Linked DNA regions of Macaca mulatta. The protein of the gene in region 2 purifies or fractionates together with the protein of the main gene of each other region. This does not show direct contact. Links are inferred from orthologs where the notes say so. Each region holds a gene or a part of one and is shown on either strand. Other genes may lie near its edges. The genes, in order: RO60, SSB, LARP7 and YBX1.

Region 1 (5,593 bases), on a different chromosome or scaffold from region 2:
TGGAAAAACTGTCTTCCACAAAACCAGTCCCTAATGCCAAAAAGGTTGGGGACTGCTGATATGCAGTTATTTCTTTTGAAGAGTACGACTGCGTCATATTTTTCCATATTATTCAACTATTTTAAAACATGTAATCTAATAAAATCAAAATAAAATGCTTGTACATATAAATACTTGCAATTTATTGTTCACATTTCATTTGAAAAATTCCACTTATAATTAAAATGATAAGTTAGGAATTACTGAAGAGATTCTGTACATAAAGATATGTGTGGAAGGGAGAAAGAACCAAAGTATACTTCTACTATATGTTAGGTGCTGGGACATTTAGTCTCAATAATTGTAAGCTTATTCTCCTTACCCTCCTTTTTAGATGAAGGTACAGAAACTCAGCTTGTTACTTGGCTTAAGGCCACAGAACTGAAACGTGAACCCACCCTTCTGAGTGGCTGTCTTTTCAAGTTTCACTTCTGGTGCAAAAAAAAAAAAAATGTCAAATTTTGTACATGTTGATTTTTGTGGAACTTCACACTTCAAATTACTCCTGCCCAAGAGTTTTTCTTATTTCTTTCCTTAAAAGGACTAGTAATTATTATAGAGTCAACTAACTTTTCAAAAGTCTCTTTCCATAGATACAGAAACACTGCCCCAAGTTATCAGGTCCCCTGACTGACTGCCTGAAAACAATTAACTTCCTGAACTGTTAAGTTCAGCACTGTACAAGGTATATCCCTTTAGGTTCCAAGGAACACATGTCCTAGGAAGATGGGGAGGAAAAAAAAAGAATGGGCTAGAGAAGTGGGTACAGCATGGCCATCTGCCACCTACTGGCAAGGAGCTGTTTTGCTTATTGCACCTTTTTTTTTTTTTTTTTTTTTTTACTTTTCTACTTAGCATTTCATTGGTTACAGAGCAGTTTTCTATACATGATCTTATGGAATAGTTGTGTACAGTTTACCTAAGTTTTACAAACGATTATACTGAGACCAAATTTGAATATCTGCTGAGTAACTGGCAAAGCTGGAACTCAAAAGCAGTTCCTTCTAATGATCGTACCCATATCCAAGGATTATTGCAACTTTTAATCTGTCCATGCTACTTACGCAGTCCATAATCACTTGGGTGAGCATTCCAGTTAGGACAGTGGCACTTTAAGATTCAGATTATTAATCTATAAACCCGTCATTTGATTCTTGATTATTAATGTCTGGATTGCCTGTGGTAGGTGTGTAATCCCAGGAAGGCATTAAACATATTTGAATTAATGCATGTTTTGAGAAAGAAAGGCTATTTCTAGAAAATATTACACACTTATGTTAAATAAAAATTTGCTATTTATTGGATATCCCTTATCCACCCTTGTTCCCAATGAAGATCTTATGCTTACCTTCACTGGAAGGTTTAAGATGTGACAATCTTAATAGATCTTTGTGAGACCAGCCATTTCTCTGTTTATATTTTGTAACTGCCAGAGCAAGGGCCATGCCACCTTTCTCGTTGTACCAGTCCGCGATAGCCTTCCGGAGGGCACGACCCCACATGCCACATTTCATGCTTTCCTTCAGATCTTTCTTAAACTGGATAAAAGTAAAGAGATGGGTAGGAATGCGGCAAACTTCAGAAACAGCTTTAAATGCTGCTTGTTTTGTGCTTATGTCGGAGCACTGGGAACAAATGGCAAGTGCAAAGAGCATAGGCTCTTGCTTTGTGGTTCTGCCTTCTTGACTAAATAACTTTATTTCTTGTATCACTTCACATCCTCTGCCATCTTCAATCAATCTAATTAAAGCTTCAGCATTTTCAAGGCCCAACTTCTGTTCTTTGATATAATAAGTCCCACCTTCAGAACCGAAACATAAGAACCGGTGTAGTCGATTCATGTCAGTGACTTGCCATACATATCCATCCTGAGAATTGGCTATCTGCTTCTCATTCAATGGCTGCATTTGGTTTACGGATTCCTCCATTTTTTTGTCTTTAGGAAACCTATCAAAAAGGCAAAATGTTATTACAACTAGATGGGCACAATAAAATTAAGAAAGGAAAACAAAATGTAGGTTTACTGAAATGTTATTAACTCTTTTAACAACATCTTTTAAGTTCGATAGTTTTTCCTTTAGTACAAAATCAATATAAATGTCCTGAAGAAAAATCAGGAAAGGCAGAAAATGAAAGAAAAAAACCATATCTGAATATTTTGAAATGACTACTGGTAATATCTTAAGTTTTTTTTGTTTTTTTCGTTTTTTTCTTGAGACAGAGTCTCGCTCTGTCACCCAGGCTGGAGTGCAGTGGCTGGATCTCGGCTCACTATAAGCTCCGCCTCCTGGGTTCACGCCATTCTCCTGCCTCAGCCTCCCGAGTAGCTGGGACTACAGGCGCCCACCACCTCGCCCGGCTAGTTTTTTGTATTTTTTTTAGTAGAGACGCGGTTTCACCGTGTTAGCCAGGATGGTCTCGATCTCCTGACCTTGTGATCCGCCCGTCTCGGCCTCCCAAAGTGCTGGGATTACAGGCTTGAGCCACCGTGCCCGGCCGGTATCTTAAGTTTTTTAAATGTTTTTGTTTTATATTCCTATTTTTATAACCTAAAGAAACTGAAAGCCCTTCACAGCAAACAAACAAGATTATAGCCACAGTGGTGTGATAATCAGAAGCAACTGAGGAGTCACCTTTTTGAGATACAGTGTGCTGCTTCAGAGATTAAGCAGGCAGGTCAGTATGGCGTCTTGAGGCCCACACAGAGAATAAAAGAAGGGAGGGAAGCAATAGTAGTGGGTACTAAGAAAGATCGTACTCCTTGAAGGATTGTGTAAACATTTTTGGTTGCCGATCTAACATTCATTCTTCCCCCTTCTCTCTTCTCCTCTTGTTGGCCTCATATCCTTCAAAGGAGGCTAGGCCTTTCCCTAGCCCCAAGGGATGGATCTTTATTGCTCTAAGCCAGTGGTTCTCAAACTCAGTGTACATCAAAATTACTAGAAGTTCTTACTGAAACACAGATTGCTGGGTCAGCCCTCCCAGGCACTGCCCTGAGTTTCTTTCATAATTTAGTAGGTCTCCAGTGAGGCCTAAGCATGTATACTTATCACAAGTCTCGGGTGATGCTGCTGCTGCTGCTGCTCGACCCAGGCCCAATAATCATGGTGCTCTCCTTGCCGCATGACTGGTATAGGGAGTTGGGCATGTGTCATGACTCTGGCCAGTACGACATGGTAAATCAGCTTTACCATGGTAAAGCTGGTAAAATCATGGTAAAATCATGGTAAAGAACACTTTTGAGGTTTTCTTCATTCTCAAAAGGGGGCTCAGGCTCTTAAAAAGAAATGTTCCCTTTTCTGCCTTCTGAAATTTTCATTTGCAAGTCATGCCTGGAGTGGTAACAACCATCTTGAGACCTTGAGATAAGCCAGCTTAAAATGGCACACCAATATATAAAGATGGCAGAATAGAAAAAAACAGAAAGTACCTAGGTCCTTGATATTGGGTTACCTGAAACTGCCCTGCTTATACATTTCCTATTATGTCATAAATGTATCTTACTGTTTAAGCCATTTTTAGGTTTATTGTTTTATGTCATCTGTAACTACCCTCACTCTACTCCTTCCATTAGCTCTAAAACTCCTAGAACTAGCTATCTGGAAACAATATCCCTCTTTATCCTTCTAGTGGAGGACCAACAATTGTCACTTCATCATCAGTCCACCACTATTCTTAGTACAGTATCACTGTTTATGGAGGTCTTTCAATCTGTCATGTTATTTCGGTGCACTGGGCTTCTGTCCATGGCAAACAAAACAGCACAACCAACAAAAACTTCAACCAGCATTTACTGAATAGATACTATGTGTGAGACATGAAGGCAATTTCTCTGCCATTAAAGAAACTGAAAAAAAAAATTGTTCTCCTTATCGCAGGGAAATACACTCATTTGTGGAGATAGAATCACAATGCAAACTGTAATTAAGTGCTGTAGTAGAAAAGTATTATGAGTGAGCAAGGGAGTATAAAATAATACTGTCTAAATAATCCAGAAAGATTTGAGGAGAGAAGGCAAACTAAAAAACTGATAAAGTTTAGGGAAGGCGCTCCAGGAAGAGGTTTCTGAAATCCTAATCTGTCTTTATATTCTAGAAAAGAAACTGTCTAAGCATCCTGTAGAGCCATACAGACATGTTGACAGATATGGCCATAACTTAAAGAGGAACACAAGGTAATTAAGAAGTTTTGTTTTGAAGACCATCCTTACTTGAACATGTTTATATATTACGAGGAAGGCTAAGGATAAAATCTTGGTGAATATTAACAACTAAGAGCTAATGAGAGAAGGGCTTTTTAAAGAGGCAGAAAAGGAGGTGCAGAGTTGAAGAAAACTAATGGACCACGAGGAAGAGAACTTCAAGGAGTGAATGGTTGATAATTTCAAATGGTCAGAGGAAAAGTAAATAAAAGGCTAGAAAATGATCTTGGATTTACCAAGTAGGAGTGACTAGTGAGAGTAACTGCAGTAGAGTGGTACAAGAAGTAGCTTGATTACAGTGAGATCAGGAAGATATGCAGTGAGGAAACTTCACAGCTAGACTACTCTTTGTAGACACAAAAACTATGAATGAAAGTAAGAGAGAGGATGGGACTTAGAGGAAAAATCTTTTTACCTTTTTCAACGGGAAGATGCTAAGATTGAAAGATTCAATTTGGAGAGGTGAAGATACAGTAGAGAAGGGGGATAACTGAAGGAATTAGATTCCTGAAAGAAATGAGACAGAATGAGCTTAGAGCATCCAGGTTGAGACTGGCCTACTAACAGCAAAAGAGATACTTCCTTTATCTTTTAAGGGTGAAGAGTATATGTAAAGAGAGATTTGAGGGAGTGAGGGATAAGGAAATTGAAGACATTCCCCTCTGACAGGAGATGTAGAATGCCAAATGGTATGTGGAGAAATTTGGTAGAGATGGGAGGAATGAAAGACTGGGTCTCAGAGAGGGGAACACATAGTGGTGTAGGGGGATAAGTGCATGGAAGAATGGAGAACCTCACATTGTGAATGTGACTGTGACTGAGGGGTACAGTGATCTGAATTGTGTTGGGAATATTAGTGTCAATATTCCAAATAAGATTCTAGTACAAATTTGCTTATGTTAGTGGAAGCCTGGGTCTCAGGTGGTATCAGAGATGTAATGATCATATTAGTCATTAGGGACAAATTTGTAGTTACTGAATACAGCACAGGCTGGAACTCCTGGTGTAGTGGATGCCTCTTCTTCTATTTATTATTATCCTCTTTTCAATTTAGCTTTTATCTCTACCTTTCGATCCAAAACACTTTAAGAAGACTAACATGCTTCACAAAGACTGATACCTTAATTGCCAATTCCAGTAGAAAATGCTATGTTTTTCTGATCTTCACATTGCATAGACTCTGCTAGTCTCTCCCTTAGCTTTCATAAAAACAGTCTCTGGTGGCACTTCAACCTGTCTACTTCTACTTATTAGTTATATTTGTTAGATGAGTAACACTGAAATGACATCTAATATCAGATAATTCTACTACACCTGCTTTCCTGCACCAAGGACCAACTGGTGGGATTTAAA
Region 2 (6,160 bases):
GAGAATTGCAGAAAAAACCCACACCAAACAATATGATCTGAGGGATTCCTTAGCAAGAACATAAGTTTAAAGATAATTTCCTATGCAACCATTATTGATATTGTAAAGATTTAAAGGTTTTTTTCTTTTTGACTTTAACTGAACAAAGAACGATTTGCAAATCAGGAAGCCTCCCCAGCCAGAGTATGCTCACAAAGACTCTCAAGTTTCTTCCCCCTGACCCCCCAAAACAGTATCTCACTCTGTCATCCAGGCTTGAGTGCAGTGGTATGATCACAGCCACTGCAGCCTCTACCTTCTGGGCTCCATCAATCCTCCCACCTCGGCTTCCCAAGTAGCTGGGACTACAGGCAAACCGCTAACACACTCAGCTAATTTTTAAAAATTTTTTGTAGAGATGGGGCCTCATCATGTTGCCCAGGCTGGTCTCTAACTCCTGGACTCAAGCCATCCTCCTGCCTCCGTACTGCAAAGGTACTGAGGATCACTTGAGGTTATTACGTTAACATAAACATAATACCTAAATTTGAAAAAATGCTAAGAGGAGTTTGAAAACAGATACTATATTAAAATTACTGGCCAGGCACAGTGGGTCACACTTGTAATCCCAGCACTTTGGGAGGCTGAGGTGGGCAGATCACCTGAGGTCTGGAGTTCGAGACCAACCTGGCCAACATGGTGAAACTCCGTCTCTACTAAAAATACAAAAATTAGCCTGGTGTGGTGGCGTGTTCCTGTAGTCCCAGCTATTTGGCAGCTGAGGCAGGATAATCATTTGAACCCAGGAGGCAGAGGCTACAGTGAGCCGAGACTGTTGTAGTGAGTCAGGATAGTGCCACTGCACTCCAGCCTGGCCAACAGAGTGAGACTCCAGCTCAAAAAAAAAAAAATACTATATTAAAGTTACAATAGCTGAGAACTGACTGGGCAGAAAAAAACTACGAAGATCATCAAAAATATAGTGTTATTTAACAGGGAAGGTACTTTACCAAGGACTTTTATGTTACTTATGTGTCAGGCATTCTTCTAAGTACTTAACATTATATTCACTAATCCTCCAAACTACCTTATGAGGAGGGAACTACTATTATCCTCATTTTACATGGGACTAAGAAGCTAAAATTTTATATGAGACTATGAAACTAAAATTTTAAAAAGATTAAGTAACTAGTTTATAGTGTTACCTTTTGAAATGTTTGTAACATCTTAAGTTTCACAACCTGGCTCCACCAGTATAAAACTGTATGCTATTATATGTTCATCTAAGAATCAAAGGCAAACCAAATGTTGAATATGTCCATATACTGAAATGAAATGTTCTTTCTGTATTTGTGTTGCGGTCCTACATTTTCTTTCAAGGAACTTGTTTTTGCAGTTTATAGCACAGGAATCATACCTCAATTTGATGACAGATTTTGGCCTCCAGGGCAGCCATCTTTTCATTATCACCATTTTCAGCCATTGTGGCTATCTGTAAAATTTCCCAAATTAGCATAAAGTTATTTTTTTATATAAAACTCAAGACTAGAAAGAGAATGTTTACAAAGTATTACTATCCCATTGTTTTCTTAAAAAATCAGGAATTTCTGTTTTCACAGGTTGTTTATTTACTCAATTCTCAAATATCTCAACGAAGCAACACTTTGGAATAAGTGATGAAAAAATCTAAAAACTATAAAAAACCTCTCTCTCTTTCAGTAAATCACTACCCCATCTTCTATAACAAGAAACTGTTTATCTCACTTGGCTGGTCAAGAAAGATTTACGGAAAAAAACTCCAATCACTTACTAACCATTTCCAGCTTTAAACAGATATCTGTCAGTATGTCACCATGGCTCGCTGTACACTTGTTTGGTTTGGTTCACTTTCTTTTTTCTTTTTTGGAGACGGAGTCTCGCTCTTGTTGCCCAGGCTGGAGTGCAATGGCGCGATCTCGACTCACTGCAATCTCCGCCTCCCAGGTTCAAGTGATTTTTTCGTCTTAGCCTCCTGAGTAGCTAGAATTACAGGCACCCGCCACCTCGCCTGACTAATTTTTGTATTTTTAGTAGAGACGGGGTTTCACCATGTTGGTCAGGTTGGTCTTGAATTCCTGACCTCAGGCGATCCACCCGCCTCGGCTTCCCAAAGTGCTGGGTTTACAGGCGTGAGCCACCGCGCCCGGCCTTATTTCTTTTAAAATGCAGTCACAACTGACTTACCCAAACCTTGTATTATAACTTTTAAGGTGAAAAACGTTACAGTTCCTTAGATACTCTATGCTCAGGAACACACGAAAACAAAAATGGGAGAATGTGGTCACACTAGCAAAACATTAAACTGGGGAGTATGCCTACTAATTTACTAATACATTGGATAGCCAGTTTCCTGTTTCGTATTCCTGACATTAGCATTGCAGGAAAAAAAGGAGGCTGTGCTATTGGTTTGCTAGAAATTACAAACCAAGTCTTCTAATTACAAAGTACTTGCCTCTAGGACTCTACTAAGTCACCCAGTCATCCCAATTGTACAAAAGTTATGTGAACAAATTATCAAGAATATTGCCATTAGTTGACTCTAGTTATGAACTGATGTAGGTACACTTCTTGGAAACATCGCCTGACACACTGCAATTGCATTCGCTACCCTGGATACACATAGGAAGCACTTGCAACGGGGTACTGCGTGATCCACATCCCCCTAGAGAAATTATTCAATTTCATGCATTGTCTTGTCTATCACAATTTACACTCCTAAGTTACCACAGTGATCTAGAGGCCCCTACAAAGCAAACGATGAAATAAAAGAACTATTTAGAACTTGCAAAATCTATTTGGCCTAATTTTGGAAATGCGCTTCATCAGATAATTTTCCAGAATGCACGACTGTAAGTGAAATATTACCCACGTTTTCCCGTTTCACACCGAAACCTGATGTGAGCGATGAAGGCCCTAACAGACCAAGAGTGACACTGGGGTACATCTGCGGCCCAAAGTTCTTTGGCCTCCAGTCAGTCCCATAGGCTCCACAGAATCCTCCGACGTTTACCCGTAACCACCTCCGCAGAAACTTACAGAGATGGCCAGAAGCCTTCGGTGAGACCAGAACGCGGTGGAGGTAAAAAAAACCGAAAAGACGCAGTGGGGATGGGGGCAGCCACAGTCCCGTCTCTCAGCAACCGCGGAACTGCCTGGGCACCAGCCACATGCGGGGAACCCCAGGATCCCGCATTCCTCGCGGGGGCGGCCTCGCCGCCGCCCGCGCCCCCTCCGCTCCGCCGCCTCCGGCTGAGGCCCACGCGGCGCTCGGCCTGAACGTGAGGAAGGCGAGGGAAGGACGGACGCCGCGAGAAGCAGTAAGGAACGAAAACGCGCAGTCGCGCACCAGCAAAGCGGGCCCTTATTGTAGCTTCTCATTAGCCACCAAGAATTGCTCACCTTTAAGGTTCCGGCCCACAGAGCCGCGCCACAGGCTCACACACAGGAACACCAACGACTCCACTTCCCAGCTCCGCCGGCCGGCCTAAAGCGCTCCAAGAAGATGGGGACCGTCCCAGCAGCCCTTGCGGCCTGGGTGGGCGGGGCCAAGGACGAGCTGGAGCGGTCCCTGTGCTCTGAGCATGCGCGACTGCCGGGGCCTCCCAGGGACCCTGGAGTCCCCGCCCTCAATCGCAAACAGATTGGGTTAAAAAGTACCGCAGGGTATAGGGGAATGGCTGCTAGTTTGTGTTAGTATAAACATTTATTTTTAAGTATTTCTGGACGGCGTCTGTACCCCAGCCCTTCCTTTGGCCCTCCATTCATATGAAGTGTTTTGGGTTTCTCTTCAGATCTTTTCCAAAGATGTGTGTGAATACACACACATATCGTGTAGTAGTTCTCAAAAAAAAAAAAGGACAAGTGAAATTTTAAAAAAAAATCAAAGATCCATGTAATCTCAGTTTTGAAGACAGTACAGTACAGCGTGTAAAAACTGGGTGTCTGGAATCAGACTGCCTGCTTCAAATAATGGTCCTCCTCCTGCTGTGAAACTGTGATCTCGGGCAAGTTGTTCAACTTCTGTGTTCCTCAGGTATAAATAGGACCAATAATAAATACTACCTAGTTCATACAATTGCTGTAAGTATTCAACTTGATGCAATATTGTCAACCTAAAGGGAAAAACTGAGGCAAAATTAGTATAAGTAGACAGTTTATTTGAGCCAAGTTTGAGGACTGCCACGTGAGAGCATGGATTCAAATTGCTCTGAATATATGCTCTGATTAGCAGCCCTTACAAGTAGATTTTTAAAGAAAAAAGAAGAGGCAATTCCTAAGTTGTTTACCAATAATTTACATTACAATAACATAAGCTATTGATTGGCTATACATTGTTCTTTGTATCACAAATTCCAAGAACATGAAAATGGATGAAGCAGGTAGTAAGAAACATAGTGACGTTAAACAATTGCCCCCCAAGCATGGTGATTAATATAGTTTAGTTCTCTGTCCCCACACAAATCTCATCTCAAATTGTAATCCGCATAATCCCCAAGTGTGGAGGGGAGGAACCACACACATGGTGGGAGGTGATTGGATCATGGGAATTGTCAGGCCTCTGAGCCCAAGCCAAGCCATCGCATCCCCTGTGACTTGCACGTATAGACCCAGATGGCCTGAAGTAACTGAAGAATCACAAAAGAAGTGCAAATGCCCTGCCTCGGCTTAACAGATGACATTGCACCACAAAAGAAGTGAAAATGGTCGGTCCTTGCCTTAAGCGATGATATTATCTTGTGAAATTCCTTTTCCTGGCTCATCCTGGCTCAAAAAGCTCCCCCACTGAGCACCTTGTGACCCCCCCACTCCTGCCCACCAGAGAACAACCCCCCTTTGACTGTAATTTTCCTTTACCTACCCAAATCCTATAAAACAGCCATACCCTTATCTCCCTTCGCTGACTCTCTTTGCGGACTCAGCCCGCCTGCACCCAGGTGAAATAAACAGCCGTGTTGCTCACACAAAGCCTGTTTGGTGGTCTCTTCACACGGACCCACGTAACAGGGATGGTTTCCCCCATGCTGTTCTCCTGGTGGTTTTATAAGGCAGTTTTCCTTGCTCTTCCTTGCTCCCTCTCACCTGCCACTGTGTAAGACATGCCTCTTCCCCTTCCACCATGATTGTAAGTTTCCTGAGGACTCACCAGACATGCGGAATTGTGAGTCAATTAAACCTCTTTTCTTTATGAATTAACCAGTCTTGGGTATGTCTTTATTGCAGTGTGAGACCTGACTAATACAGGGGTGTAGGGACATGACTGAAGTCCCAAACTCATCTCTCGCTGTGCCTGATAAATTCTGCATACCTCACATAGTTCAGACTGCTCTGGGCTCTTTTTCTTTTCTTAAGGTCAATGAGAAAAAACATATTTAACAGCGTTGTGCTCAGGTAGTTTAAATTCAAATTAATTAGATTATCTTTTATCCACTCAACGAATATTTAGTCTCTATTTTATGCCAGACACAATTGAAATCTTCATTCTTGTTTTGATCAAGTCAGTGAGAATACACGTATTTAACAGAACAAATAATATGAGTGTCAGGGTACTCTCATTCATCCATTCAGCAAACTATTTATTACATACCTGTTAATGTCCTGGAGGCTTAACACTGGGAATAGAAAGAAGAGCCAGACTCTGCCTAGAGACAGAGCTACCTAAACAAATATATCTGCTTCTTTATGCCCCACAACATCTAGGCAGAACTGCAGGTACAGCCTATTATCAGAAATCACACCTGCTAAAAACATTTATTTCATGTTCTCATCAGGTACCTGGTCCTTTGCTCTCCCTTTCTTGTCTTTTGTTTTGTTTTTCGTTTTCTTTCTTCTTCTTTTTTCTTTTTTTTTAGACAGTCTCCCTCTGTCGCCGAGGCTGGAATGCAGTGGCACCACCTCGGCTCAGGGCAACCTCTGCCTCCCAGATTCAAGTGATTCTCCTGCCTCAGCCTCCTGAGTAGCTGGGATTACAGGTGCCTGCCACCACACCTGGCTAATTTTTTTATTTTTAGTAGATTCAGGGCTTCGCTATGTTGGCCAGGTTGGCCAGTTTGGTTTCAAATTCCTGGACTCAGGTGATCCACCCGCCTCAGCCTCCTGAAGTACTGGGATTACAGGCATGAGCCACCGCGTCTGACCCTTTTCT
Region 3 (5,581 bases), on a different chromosome or scaffold from region 2:
TGATTATCTTTAAAATTGTAATTATAGAAAAGTGTAAAATATTTTTGAAGACCTATAGAAATCTTTCACACATGTGCCAAAAAACCCATAGTTCTATATAATTTACGCTACAAATTGCTGTACACACAGGTTTATAATCTTTTTTTCGTTTTGTACAGTCTATCTTCTATAGCCTTTTATACCACACTGGTAGCAATACTTCTTTCTATTAGGGAAAAGTAAGTATATACTTTTATGTGAGAGTACCGTATCTTATTTACCCTTACCCTGCCTGTGACCCATTTAAGTCAATCCTTTTCTTTTTAAAAAGTGTGAAATGCTCTGTAACATACCACATATTTTAAGTATTTTCTTATACTGACATTCATCATCACTTAGTATATTGTTTTGGTTTCACATAGACTCATCAGTCACAGGTTTTAACTTGAATATCATTGAGGTGGTTGTTTATCTGTAAGCACTCCTTATCTGAAATGCTGTCCTACAATCCTATAGCTGTCACTAAGAAACAAATTTTGATTCTCTTTCCAATATTGGTGAAGGATTTGGCCAAATCCAAATTGCTATTACCAACTTGCATTTCAGGAGACAGCTGAAAATTGAGGGATGTAAATACCGCTCTGGTTAATCAGATTGCAAAACATTTAATAAAAAAAATTACTCAGTTATTTGTAATCACTCATTAAATAACTTTTATTATTTAAATGGTAACTATATCAATTACAAATTCATCATTTATGATCATCAAAATCATAAAATCAATCCCTGCATTAATCCAGTTAGTAGTTACTTACATTTTGCTGAAACAAAAACTGAGCTGTGATGGTGGTTACAGCTGTCTGTGACTTGCCCATGTGATTACTAGGCTAATTTGTCCTTCTATGGGTTTTAAATTCTGAGGGTTTTAAATCAAGAGATTAGCCTGACATTATAATGGATATTTAGTAAATATCTTTTGAGTTGTAGTAATTGAATATGCTCAGAAGTCAGTTATAAAACTCATTACTAGTACTGAATGCATTCAAATTTCAACAATACTGAATTTTTTACTTGCTTTATATCTAAATTTGGTACTAATTAATTAGATAAAGAAGTGGGAAGGACTAGCAAGTATATGTCTCTGCAGTTCTTTTTTTTTTTTTTAATTTGGCAAACAGTTACCAAATGCCTGTTTTGTGCTAGTTTGCTGAGTGTTGGGATGAGTTAAGATCTGGTCCCTGGCTTCTAGAAATTCATAGATTTTATTATATATTTTTTATTGTTAACTGATAAACTTGTCTTATTCTATGATGAAATAATACTCCCAGGTATTGCTCAATTCTTTCCATAAATCAAACATCTAAAAATTCAACATTTGAACATAATCTAAATTAGTTGTGTCCTGAAAATGTAGGTTAAAACTAAAGTGAGGCAAGATAAGAAAGATTTTTTTCCCCCATTTAGGAATCTGCAGTTATTTCTTTAGCTTTGTGAATGGAAGTTGATGAATTAGGAATTAGTGTAACATTCCTGCATAAATGCATTGTATACTCTGTAAAACCTGCTGTGAGGGAAAAAAAAAAAGTTGATTAAGAATGCAGGAATCTGGTTAATTTGCCCTCACAGCAGGCAGTGTAGGTAAAACTTTTCCTTGCTGGGTGACCACAACTTGTTTAGAAGAGGTTGCTTAGGTATTTTTTTCAGAAAGTAAGAGCTCTTGAACAATTTGGAAACCTAGTATCTTAGGTTCAGTAAAACTGTTTTTCATGAGTTGTTATTAAAAGTTGAGTGATTTGTACACATATTTTAAAGTCATAGTGATTTTCTGCAGGTGAGTAAAAACAAACCTCCCTTAATCCTTTTTTTTTTTTTTTAAATTTTATTCCTTATACTAACTACTCCCAGATGTGAACCCTTCCTGATTTGGGGATTGGGGGACACTATTTCTGCTTTCTGCTCTACAAATCTGTTGTCCTTATAGAATATTCCCATTCTAGTTCAGATTTTACGGATGTGATTTCAAGAAAATAAAGGAAAATAAATTGTTAGAGTTGATATTATTCAAATCTATTTTTAAGAACATGCTTTACAAGAAATGTTTGATATAGGATATTTGCTCCTCATTAGTCTGCAAAATGCTTTATTTACATAATATATTCTGGCATAACCATTGGAATAGTTTTAGAATTATTGTGAAACATTTTAAATTTTATTTGTCTTTCTACTTAATTCTAATGCAGGATACTTTGGCAGCAATCTCAGAAGTTCTTTATGTTGATTTGCTTGAAGGGGATACAGAATGCCATGCTAGATTTAAAACTCCTGAGGATGCTCAAGCAGTAATAAATGCATATACAGAAATTAGCAAGAAACACTGCTGGAAACTCGAGATCCTTTCTGGTAAAACTTCATAGAAGTGTTTTTTTTTTTTGTAACCATCCTTATTGTGGGTAACATTTTCTGAGTTTGGCTAATGAAACTAGTTTTGTTTTTTGTTTGTTTGTTTTTTGTTGTTGTTTTTTTTTTTTTTGGTCTCACTCTGTCGCTCAGGCTGGAGTGCAGTGGTGTGATCTCAACTCAACGCAACCTCCACCTCCCAGGTTCAAGTGATTCTCCTGCCTCAGCCTCCTGAGTACTTGGGATTACAGGCGTGTGTTACCACGCCTGGCTAATTTTTATATTTTTATTTTATTTTTTGAGACAGAGTTTCGCTCTTGTTGCCCAGGCTGGAGTGCAATGGTATAATCTCAGCTCAGTGCAACCTCTGCCTCCTGGCTTCAAGTGATTCTCCTGCCTCAGCCTCCCAGGTTAGCTGGGATTACAGGCATGTGCCACCTTGCCCAGCTAATTTTATGTTTTTGGTAGAGACGGGGTTTCTCCATGTTGGTCAGCCTGGTCTTGTCTTGAACTCCCGACCTCAGGTGGTCTGCTTGCCTTGGCCCCCTGAAGTGCTGGGATTACAGGCATGAGCCACTGCACCAGGCAATTTTTAGTAGAGATGGGGTTTTGCTATGTTGGCCAGGCTGTTGTCGAACTCCTGACCTCTGGTGATCCTGCCTCCTTGTCCTCCCAGAGTGCTGGGATTAGAGGTTTCAGCCACCGCACCTAACGAAACTAATAATTTTATTTCTATTCTGTAATATGTATAAAGTGGCATTAAATATAATCAAAAACTGTCCTAGTTCTGTTACTGAGAATGTAATGCCTTGAATATGGTTTTTCAGATGTGTTCTTCTTTTCATCCATCAGAGTTTTTGTTTGTTTTTAAGGTGATCACGAACAAAGGTATTGGCAGAAGATTTTGGTTGATCGACAGGCAAAACTTAATCAGCCTCGGGAAAAGAAAAGAGGCACTGAAAAGGTAATTAATTCATTTTTGTTTTTTTAGACTAAACTTTCTTTGAACATTTAATGCCAAAGTCAGTATAGGTAGTCATAAAATGATCTTAGCTTTGCTATTACCTAACAAAGATTTACTGAGTATATACTATGTTTTAGGTTGGGAGGAAAAAGTCATTTCTCTAGATTTCAAAATGTGTGAAATTATTTTTCTCACAAGGATACATAATTATAATTTAGAGTTTTTCTTTTTAACTAGTGATACTTTAACAATCTTGATTTCTGGCTGCTATGTCTTGTAGTTTGGTGGTAAATGATTATAGAAAGATTATCGTAATGGTAAAACCACAACATATTTAGAATGTAGTTTCTAAAGATAGGAAGCTCCACAGATAAGATGGAGAGACTTTATGCATAGTGTTTCCTATAGCAACGATAAGCTTTATTCCTCTTTCTCTAAGATAGTCAGTAGGTAATACAAACAAGCTTAAATAATTTAAAGCAAGCCCCAGCCAGGTGGGTGGATCACAAGGTCAGGAGATCGAGACCACAGTGAAACCCGGTCTCTACTAAAAATACAAAAAATTATCCGGACACGGTGGCGGGCGCCTGTATTCCCAGCTGCTGGGGAGGCTGAGGCAGGAGAATGGCATGAACCCGGGAGGCGGGGCTTGCAGTGAGCTGAGATCCGGCCACTGCACTCCAGCCTGGGCGACAGAGCAAGACTCCGTCTCAAAAAAAAAAAAAAAAAAAAAGCAAGCCCCTCTTTCAGTAATTTTATTTTTCTGTCACTCAAAATGATATTATAAAAGTGTAAGAGGCCGGGCGCGGTGGCTCAAGCCTGTAATCCCAGCACTTTGGGAGGCCGAGACGGGCGGATCACGAGGTCAGGAGATCAAGACCATCCTGGCTAACACGGTGAAACCCCGTCTCTACTAAAAAATACAAAAAACTAGCCGGGAGAGGTGGCGGGCGCCTGTAGTCCCAGCTACTCGGGAGGCTGAGGCAGGAGAATGGCGTGAACCCGGGAGGCGGAGCTTACAGTGAGCCGAGATCGCGCCACTGCACTCCAGCCTGGGCGACAGAGCAAGACTCCGTCTCAAAAAAAATAAAAAATAAAAAAAAATTAAAAAAAATTAAAAAAAAAAATAAAAGTGTAAGAAAAAAGAAAAAGATGAACTTCCTTTTTTGTTAGGTGAGCACTTTAAAAGTCCTATTTCCTGTAATCTAAGGTTGTTGATTTGGGGTCATATTTATTTTAAAAAAAAAAATTTTTTTTTTTAAGTTAAAAGGCAAGCATTTTTCATCAACCTTCTTCCATTGCCCAGAATTTATTGTGATTTGTGAGGAGGTGTCTTACTGGTCTTTGTGAATTTTGTTTCCTTGAAAGGAGACTGAACTTGCTGTGGTGGGGAAGCCGCCTGTGCTTCCCAAGGATTCTTTCAGGGATACGAGGTGTTAATTTCAAAGCCTGTTTGAGATTATTCAAATGTTAAAATCACTGATCCAGAACTGGTAACTGAAGTGAAGTCACTTTGTTAAATAATACCCTTCTAATTGCTGTGAAATTTCATTTAGATTGTATATATTTTTTAAACTAGGAATAAATCATTTATTTTTCATTTTAAAAATTTAGAGCTCATCTTTGACTAGGAAATTTCTTAAATCGAGTTGGAACACAACTCAGTTATGATGTCAGGATTGTTGTTAACACAGTTTGTTAAGTAGCTATGGAAGTAGCAAGTTGACTCTTGTGAAATGAAATGGAGGTTACCACACAAAGTAAGTGCTGTGCAAAGCTTGTTGGAAAAAAGGAGTAGACCATAATTAGTTTAGCCAACTTGTTTGCTAGTTAATTCAACTAATGTTTTTTGAGTGCCTTGTGTTAGGCACCATTCTTGTAACCTCGGGTAAAGTCATGAATCACAAAGTCCTCTACTTTCATGAAGCGAACAGATAAACCCTATAGTTTAGGTGATGACCAGTGCTACACAGAAAAATAAAACAAAGTGTATTGCAGGAGAGCGTTGTATCAGCTGAGGTTGTCTGGAAAGCTGTCTGCAAAGGTGATGTTACAGCCAAGACCCGTAGGGAAGTGAGCGAGTAAGCCCCAGTAAAGTTTAGAAGTATCGCTTTTCAGGCAGAAGCAAAGAAAATGTACAGACCATAAGGGAAGACTGTCAGGGACTAGAAGACCAGTGTAGTTGGAGTACTAGGAGCATCTTAGTAATTAATGGGAATTGCTTAGAAAAAAACTAGTAGA
Region 4 (5,593 bases), on a different chromosome or scaffold from region 2:
GACAGATGAGATCAATTATTTGACTCAACTCACCCGGTTGTACTGATTCACAAGGTGCCACCAATAGCTTTCATTTTTTTGGAAGTGGTTTCAACATGTAGTTGTTTCCTGGGACTTTGGCTGCTCAGGTCTTAGTGGTGTATCAAGGAGACTGCAGTTCTGGGCAGCTTCACTTAATTGGCCTCAGATTCGTTGGTTGTCCTGTCTCCTCTGCAGTGGAAATGCGTGAGTGATCCTGTAATGGATATAGCTGGGATTTGGAGTGAACATGGAATTTGGAGACCCAATACCTGGGTTTAGAAAGTCTCCTTACTAACTGTGTGACCTTGGGCAAGTCACCTAACTTTAAAGCCTGTTACATTATCTGTAAAATGGGATTAACAATACTTTCACATGTCCTGTCTCATAATGAGATTGAATAGGTAGTAAGTGAAAGAATATTGCAAAAAAATTTCATAGAAACGTGAGATGTTACTCTTCCTCCCTTCTCCTAACAGTCTGAGAAGTAGAAGCAACAAGTCTCTAATACAAGATTTATTGAATGCTGGAGAGGTGATAAGTAACAATTCCATGCAGTCAGATCATATAAAGAATGACATAGTTAATACACGTGAATTGCATTTCCACTGACGTATTATCAGATTGGAAGGGATTTGGGTTGACATTTGTAATTGAGTTTGATATGGTAACACAGGGGCAAAGTTGGTTTGGTCAGCTGTGAAGCATGCAAAACCCAACTCGCCTGTCATCTAAACTGACCCATGTGGGGCCACCTTCTACTATTAAGTGCAGTCTTTAGGGGATAGATGGAGATCCTCATTTGTTCAAAATTACATATAATGCTTTTGCAAAAAGCAGTTTTTAAAATGTTGTGTCTGTCTTGAGTGTTAAATTACTTGTTTTAGTTTTGTAAATAGTGGTAAAATGCTGGGGCCTTGTATGATTGGAGTGTTTTTGTTGAAGTTGGGGATAGCGTGGTCCCTGCTTTCCCAAATTTATTGATGATTTGGTCTTATTTAAAGCAAATCTTAAGTGTATATCCAAGCTAAAATAATATTGACTCTGGTACATTTTAAATGAAAAAGCACATTATTCTCCCCTGTTAATCTGTTTTTGGAATGTGATATTACTAGACTGCCATAAAGAAGAATAACCCCAGGAAGTACCTTCGCAGTGTAGGAGATGGAGAGACTGTGGAGTTTGATGTTGTTGAAGGAGAAAAGGTGAGGATGCTTTTTGTGTAAAGGTTTGACTTCAGTATGGAAATATTTTGGAGGTCTCATCTGTTAGGATGGTGGCTCTAATGTGGATGGATGTGTTCAGGTGACCTCATGAACACAGGTGCATCAAGCCTAATGTTCTGGCTGCAGTTAGAGGGCAATCTCTTCAGAACAGTGAGGAACTGATATTTAGTCATTTCTGTGCACCCCTGGCCACGCAGTCGCCCACCCCCCTTTTTGTTTTCCTTAACTTTGTTTTTTGCTTTGTTTGAAATTTGTTGAAAGTGTTCTGATTTCCTTTGTCACTATCAATATGTAATGGCTTTTGTAGGGTGCGGAGGCAGCAAATGTTACAGGTCCTGGTGGTGTTCCAGTTCAAGGCAGTAAATATGCAGCAGACCGTAACCATTATAGACGCTATCCACGTCGTAGGGGTCCTCCACGCAATTACCAGCAAAATTACCAGAATAGTGAGAGTGGGGAAAAGAACGAGGGATCGGAGAGTGCTCCCGAAGGCCAGGCCCAACAACGCCGGCCCTACCGCAGGCGAAGGTTCCCACCTTACTACATGCGGAGACCCTATGGGCGTCGACCACAGTATTCCAACCCTCCTGTGCAGGGAGAAGTGATGGAGGTAAGTTTCACCATCAGCAACAGCAATGTGATAAGTTCTGGTAGGACTGTTTAGAGCTGTTAATCATATGGAAAGCACCTTTGATTCCTAGTAAGAACTAACAGGATTAATTTATAGTGTAGTCACAGTTACTAGATGGTCTGATTTTTTGTTTGTTTTTTAACTCTGGATTTCCTGGTAAGGTTATTATGTTACTGACCCAGTAGCCTTGATTTCCATTATCTTTTTCAGGGTGCTGACAACCAGGGTGCAGGAGAACAAGGTAGACCAGTGAGGCAGAATATGTATCGGGGATATAGACCACGATTCCGCAGGTATGGTCCACATAAACCTCTGTTAGAACTCAGCAATATCATGCCTCTCCCGCAGACTTTTGGACTCATTTTTCTGTTAACACTTCACGTTTCCTTTCATCAGATGCCTAAGAGGTGAACCTGTTAAAAACAGCTCATATAGATGAGGTCAGCTTTATACATAAATTTTTTTTTTTTAAATGATGAGGGTATGGAATTTCAAATTTTCTATCCTTGAACAGGTAAGATAATATTTTAAACCACGTCTTTTAAACCTGCCTCCTTGGTAGGGAGAAAGGAAAGCATTAGGAGTATCTGAATTGTACCATGGCATTAGTGAAGAATCAGCAGTAAGTGTTAACCACTTGAAATGGCATACATAATCTTCCACTAATTCTTAGTTTAGGTATGTACCCCCCCTTTTTTTGGAGTTGGGATGTCAGCTCAAAGTTGCAAAATGAAATTGCTCCATGAAGAATTTACATTCTGGGAGGAAAAATCTGGTCTATCATTAGACAACTAATCTATCTGCTTGAATGGGTATTAGAAATCTTATTAATAGATGTCATTATTAGAGTAATGGAGGAAAAATTCCGTGAGCCAAGCGTATTTTAGTCCATGCTGTGGTGTGCTTTAAGGCAGCGTTCCCAGTCCCACGATGGTAGGATAGAATGGTGTAATCGTTCTTTCTGTGAGGGTTTGCTATTGAAGTATTAAGTTTTCATAGGTGATCCCTAAAATCTGACAGGTACCTCTGAAGAATCAAACCAATACAGTAATAATGCATCTTAACTGATCACTTAAATCACAACTTTTAAATCCCCAAATTTTTAAGTGTCAAGTTTATTATTCTAGAAGTATCCAACATATCCAAAATATACTGTGAGTATATTTTGAGGGGGTTTCTGTATATAGGTTTTTAAATTTTACAAAAGTCGGAGCACTTAGTGTAGTTTTAGGAACTAGGGAATCTAGTTGAGGTTGTATTACATACTTATCAGCACGTGTACATTGAGAGTTTTGCAAGAGCAGCTGATGTCATCATATTTCTTGTGTTAATATATGTCCTGTCCTGAGTTTTCAGTTAAAAGAGCTGGGATCCTAACTGATCACTACTAGAATTGAAGATCTCTGATTCAGTTTTCTGCCAGGAGATTGTGTTAGCCAGATGCTGGATGTTGAAGATAGATGGGTTTTTATTTTTCAAAGTAGATCTAAAATAGGCTCTCATGTATTAAGTCCATGGGTTCCAGCAGCAGAATCTTTGGTTTACCTTTTTATTACACTGAAGAGCTTAAATGTTTTGCCAAACTAGTTTCATAGATGTCCTTAAAAATAGTATAATTTTGTGTTTGTATTCAGTACTTCAGTTCACTGTTGAGCAAATTGTTTTTATATTGACAAACAAGAAGCTTGAGATTGACTTGTCTCTTAGAAAGGTATCTTTATCCATTGTTACCCCTCCAGTGCAAAGGTTTTTGCCATTTCATTTAAGTTAGACTTAATGTCTACGTGTTTCCATGTTTAGAATGCTCAATCCTGCCAGATAGTTAGCAGAAGTAACATATAATTGCTTTGAAGTTATTAATGAATGCTAGACTTTCCAAACTCTGCAGGAATCTTTTGTTCAAATGAGAGTAAATGAAACATGCTGCGCCTAATGCATGGAGTGGTGTGGTAAAATCCTGGCTGGTGTGGGTTCAAGAGCAAATTGAAAGAGAAGTCTTAAGACAGAGTGTAGTACAAGTTTTGCTGAAAAGGAGACAGGTAGTAGGGGAAAATGGGGAGTGAAAAAGGGAGGGTTTTTTTTGAGAAATAATATTTATAGGCTGAAATGCAATCGAGGATAACGGTTGATGGCAGGAAAGTGACTGCTGGAATGTTTTCTTCCTCAGAGCGAGTTGGGTTTTGCCCACAGGTGAAAATGTTGACCTGTTGTTAGAAACCTGATGTTTTCATGTGTAAGAAACAAGAATACATGGGCAAACATGTTTAATGGGAAGACATGGAAGCCTTTGTTTGCTCAATTGAGTCAAAAGAAGAGGAAGTTTGAAAAGTTTGGGGCAAAGAACCCTGTAGCAGAGAAAATAGAGATGGTAAATTTGTAAGTAATAGGATAACAATCATAAATTAGAAGTGAGTTCACCCAGCTTGGCTCTGTGTTTCTAGCCATTTGAGCATCAGGCTCAGATTGGGCAGAGAGTTGGATTTCTCTGGCATTGGTTTATCCAGACTTAGACCCTGGGGTAGGGATTGGTCATATGATTAATGGTGGACTTTATACTTGGATAAAGAGGGGAGAAAAGGGGAACATGAGGGGTTTTTAAAAATTGTGTTGTAGACATGGAGTTGTACTGTGTTACTCAAGCAGTCTTGAACTGCCCTCAAGTGATCCTCCCCAGGTGTTAGGATTACAGGTGTAAGCCACTGTGCCCAACCTTGGAGTGAGATGAACAGGTGATAGGATCGCTGTATTACAGGTCCTAGATGAAGAATGAGAAAACAATAAGGAATTAACTAGGAAAAATCAGAAGGTACATAATTGGAAAGGTGGGTGGTATAACTGAGAAAACCCAGGTAGAAAACAGCTGGACTGGGAGGTCGGTCTGAAAGCCCAGGTTATTAGAAGTTGTTATCCTCGAACCTTAATAATAACTGCAATAAGAAAAAGATAGTAAATGGAGCAGAATCCAAAATAAGATGGAACGCCTACAGTTTTTAGAAGCTAGGAGAGTTGATTTAGAAGCCACAATAAGGTTAGAACAGTCACCACTGGAGGGTTACAGAGAAAAGTCAGAACAATTTTGTTGAAGATTCATCATGAGTTCCAAAAGATGTGGGGAAAGAGTTTTAGAATGTACAAAGGTAAATGTGAATTTATTCCCATGATAACTGATAGATACTAAAGGCCTGGGGCTTTCTGGAGTGCTCAGGGTATGGGTGAAGGAAAGGCCAGGAATCCATCATTTCTGAGCACTGGGGGAAAGAAAATCCCAAAATTTAGTATCTTTATCTTGGTGATTAAAAGACGCAACCCTTTAATCCCAGCACTTTTTGGGAGGCCAAGGAGGGAAGATAGCTTGAGCTCGGGAATTGAAGACCAGCCTGGGAAACATAGCAAGATATCTCTACTAAAAATCAGACATTAATGAGGCATTAGGGCTTGCCTATAGTCCTAGCTACTCAGGAGTCTGAGATGGGAAGATCACTTGAGCCTGGAAGATAGAGGCCACAGTGAGCTGTCATCATGCCATGGCACTTTAGCCTGGGCAACAAAGCAAGACTCCCAACCCGCCGACACCCACCCCCCCGACAAAAAAAAAAAATCTCCTTACACAAATTGCCTACAGACCACTTGATACAGAGAATGGGCCAGACATGGTGAGTTAGTTGTGAACCAACTGGTAACACTGGTAGGTGTGTTGAAGAGAGAAGGTTTTATCATT

Evidence for each region.
Region 1: the proteins of SSB (region 2) and RO60 purify together in Homo sapiens (affinity purification with mass spectrometry; 3 studies listed by BioGRID and IntAct, with this or other methods). This does not show direct contact. The link is inferred for Macaca mulatta from reciprocal best matches to the Homo sapiens genes SSB and RO60.
Region 3: the proteins of SSB (region 2) and LARP7 purify together in Homo sapiens (affinity purification with mass spectrometry; 4 studies listed by BioGRID and IntAct, with this or other methods). This does not show direct contact. The link is inferred for Macaca mulatta from reciprocal best matches to the Homo sapiens genes SSB and LARP7.
Region 4: the proteins of SSB (region 2) and YBX1 purify together in Homo sapiens (affinity purification with mass spectrometry; 3 studies listed by BioGRID and IntAct, with this or other methods). This does not show direct contact. The link is inferred for Macaca mulatta from reciprocal best matches to the Homo sapiens genes SSB and YBX1.

Annotation. Positions count from the first base shown.
Region 1 is NC_133406.1:50,601,814-50,607,406, reverse strand, and holds part of RO60 (RNA-binding protein RO60), read right to left. Parts: intron 1,987-5,593; 5' UTR 1,968-1,986; coding exon 1,388-1,967; intron 1-1,387. UniProt on the Homo sapiens protein: RNA-binding protein that binds to misfolded non-coding RNAs, pre-5S rRNA, and several small cytoplasmic RNA molecules known as Y RNAs.
Region 2 is NC_133417.1:74,715,835-74,721,994, reverse strand, and holds the start of SSB (lupus La protein), read right to left. Parts: upstream 3,515-6,160; 5' UTR 3,397-3,514; coding exon 3,055-3,396; intron 1,472-3,054; coding exon 1,397-1,471; intron 1-1,396. UniProt on the Homo sapiens protein: Binds to the 3' poly(U) terminus of nascent RNA polymerase III transcripts, protecting them from exonuclease digestion and facilitating their folding and maturation.
Region 3 is NC_133410.1:121,879,720-121,885,300, forward strand, and holds part of LARP7 (la-related protein 7), read left to right. Parts: intron 1-2,219; coding exon 2,220-2,379; intron 2,380-3,248; coding exon 3,249-3,340; intron 3,341-5,581. UniProt on the Homo sapiens protein: RNA-binding protein that specifically binds distinct small nuclear RNA (snRNAs) and regulates their processing and function.
Region 4 is NC_133406.1:198,060,469-198,066,061, reverse strand, and holds part of YBX1 (Y-box-binding protein 1), read left to right. Parts: intron 1-1,133; coding exon 1,134-1,223; intron 1,224-1,551; coding exon 1,552-1,854; intron 1,855-2,085; coding exon 2,086-2,168; intron 2,169-5,593. UniProt on the Homo sapiens protein: DNA- and RNA-binding protein involved in various processes, such as translational repression, RNA stabilization, mRNA splicing, DNA repair and transcription regulation.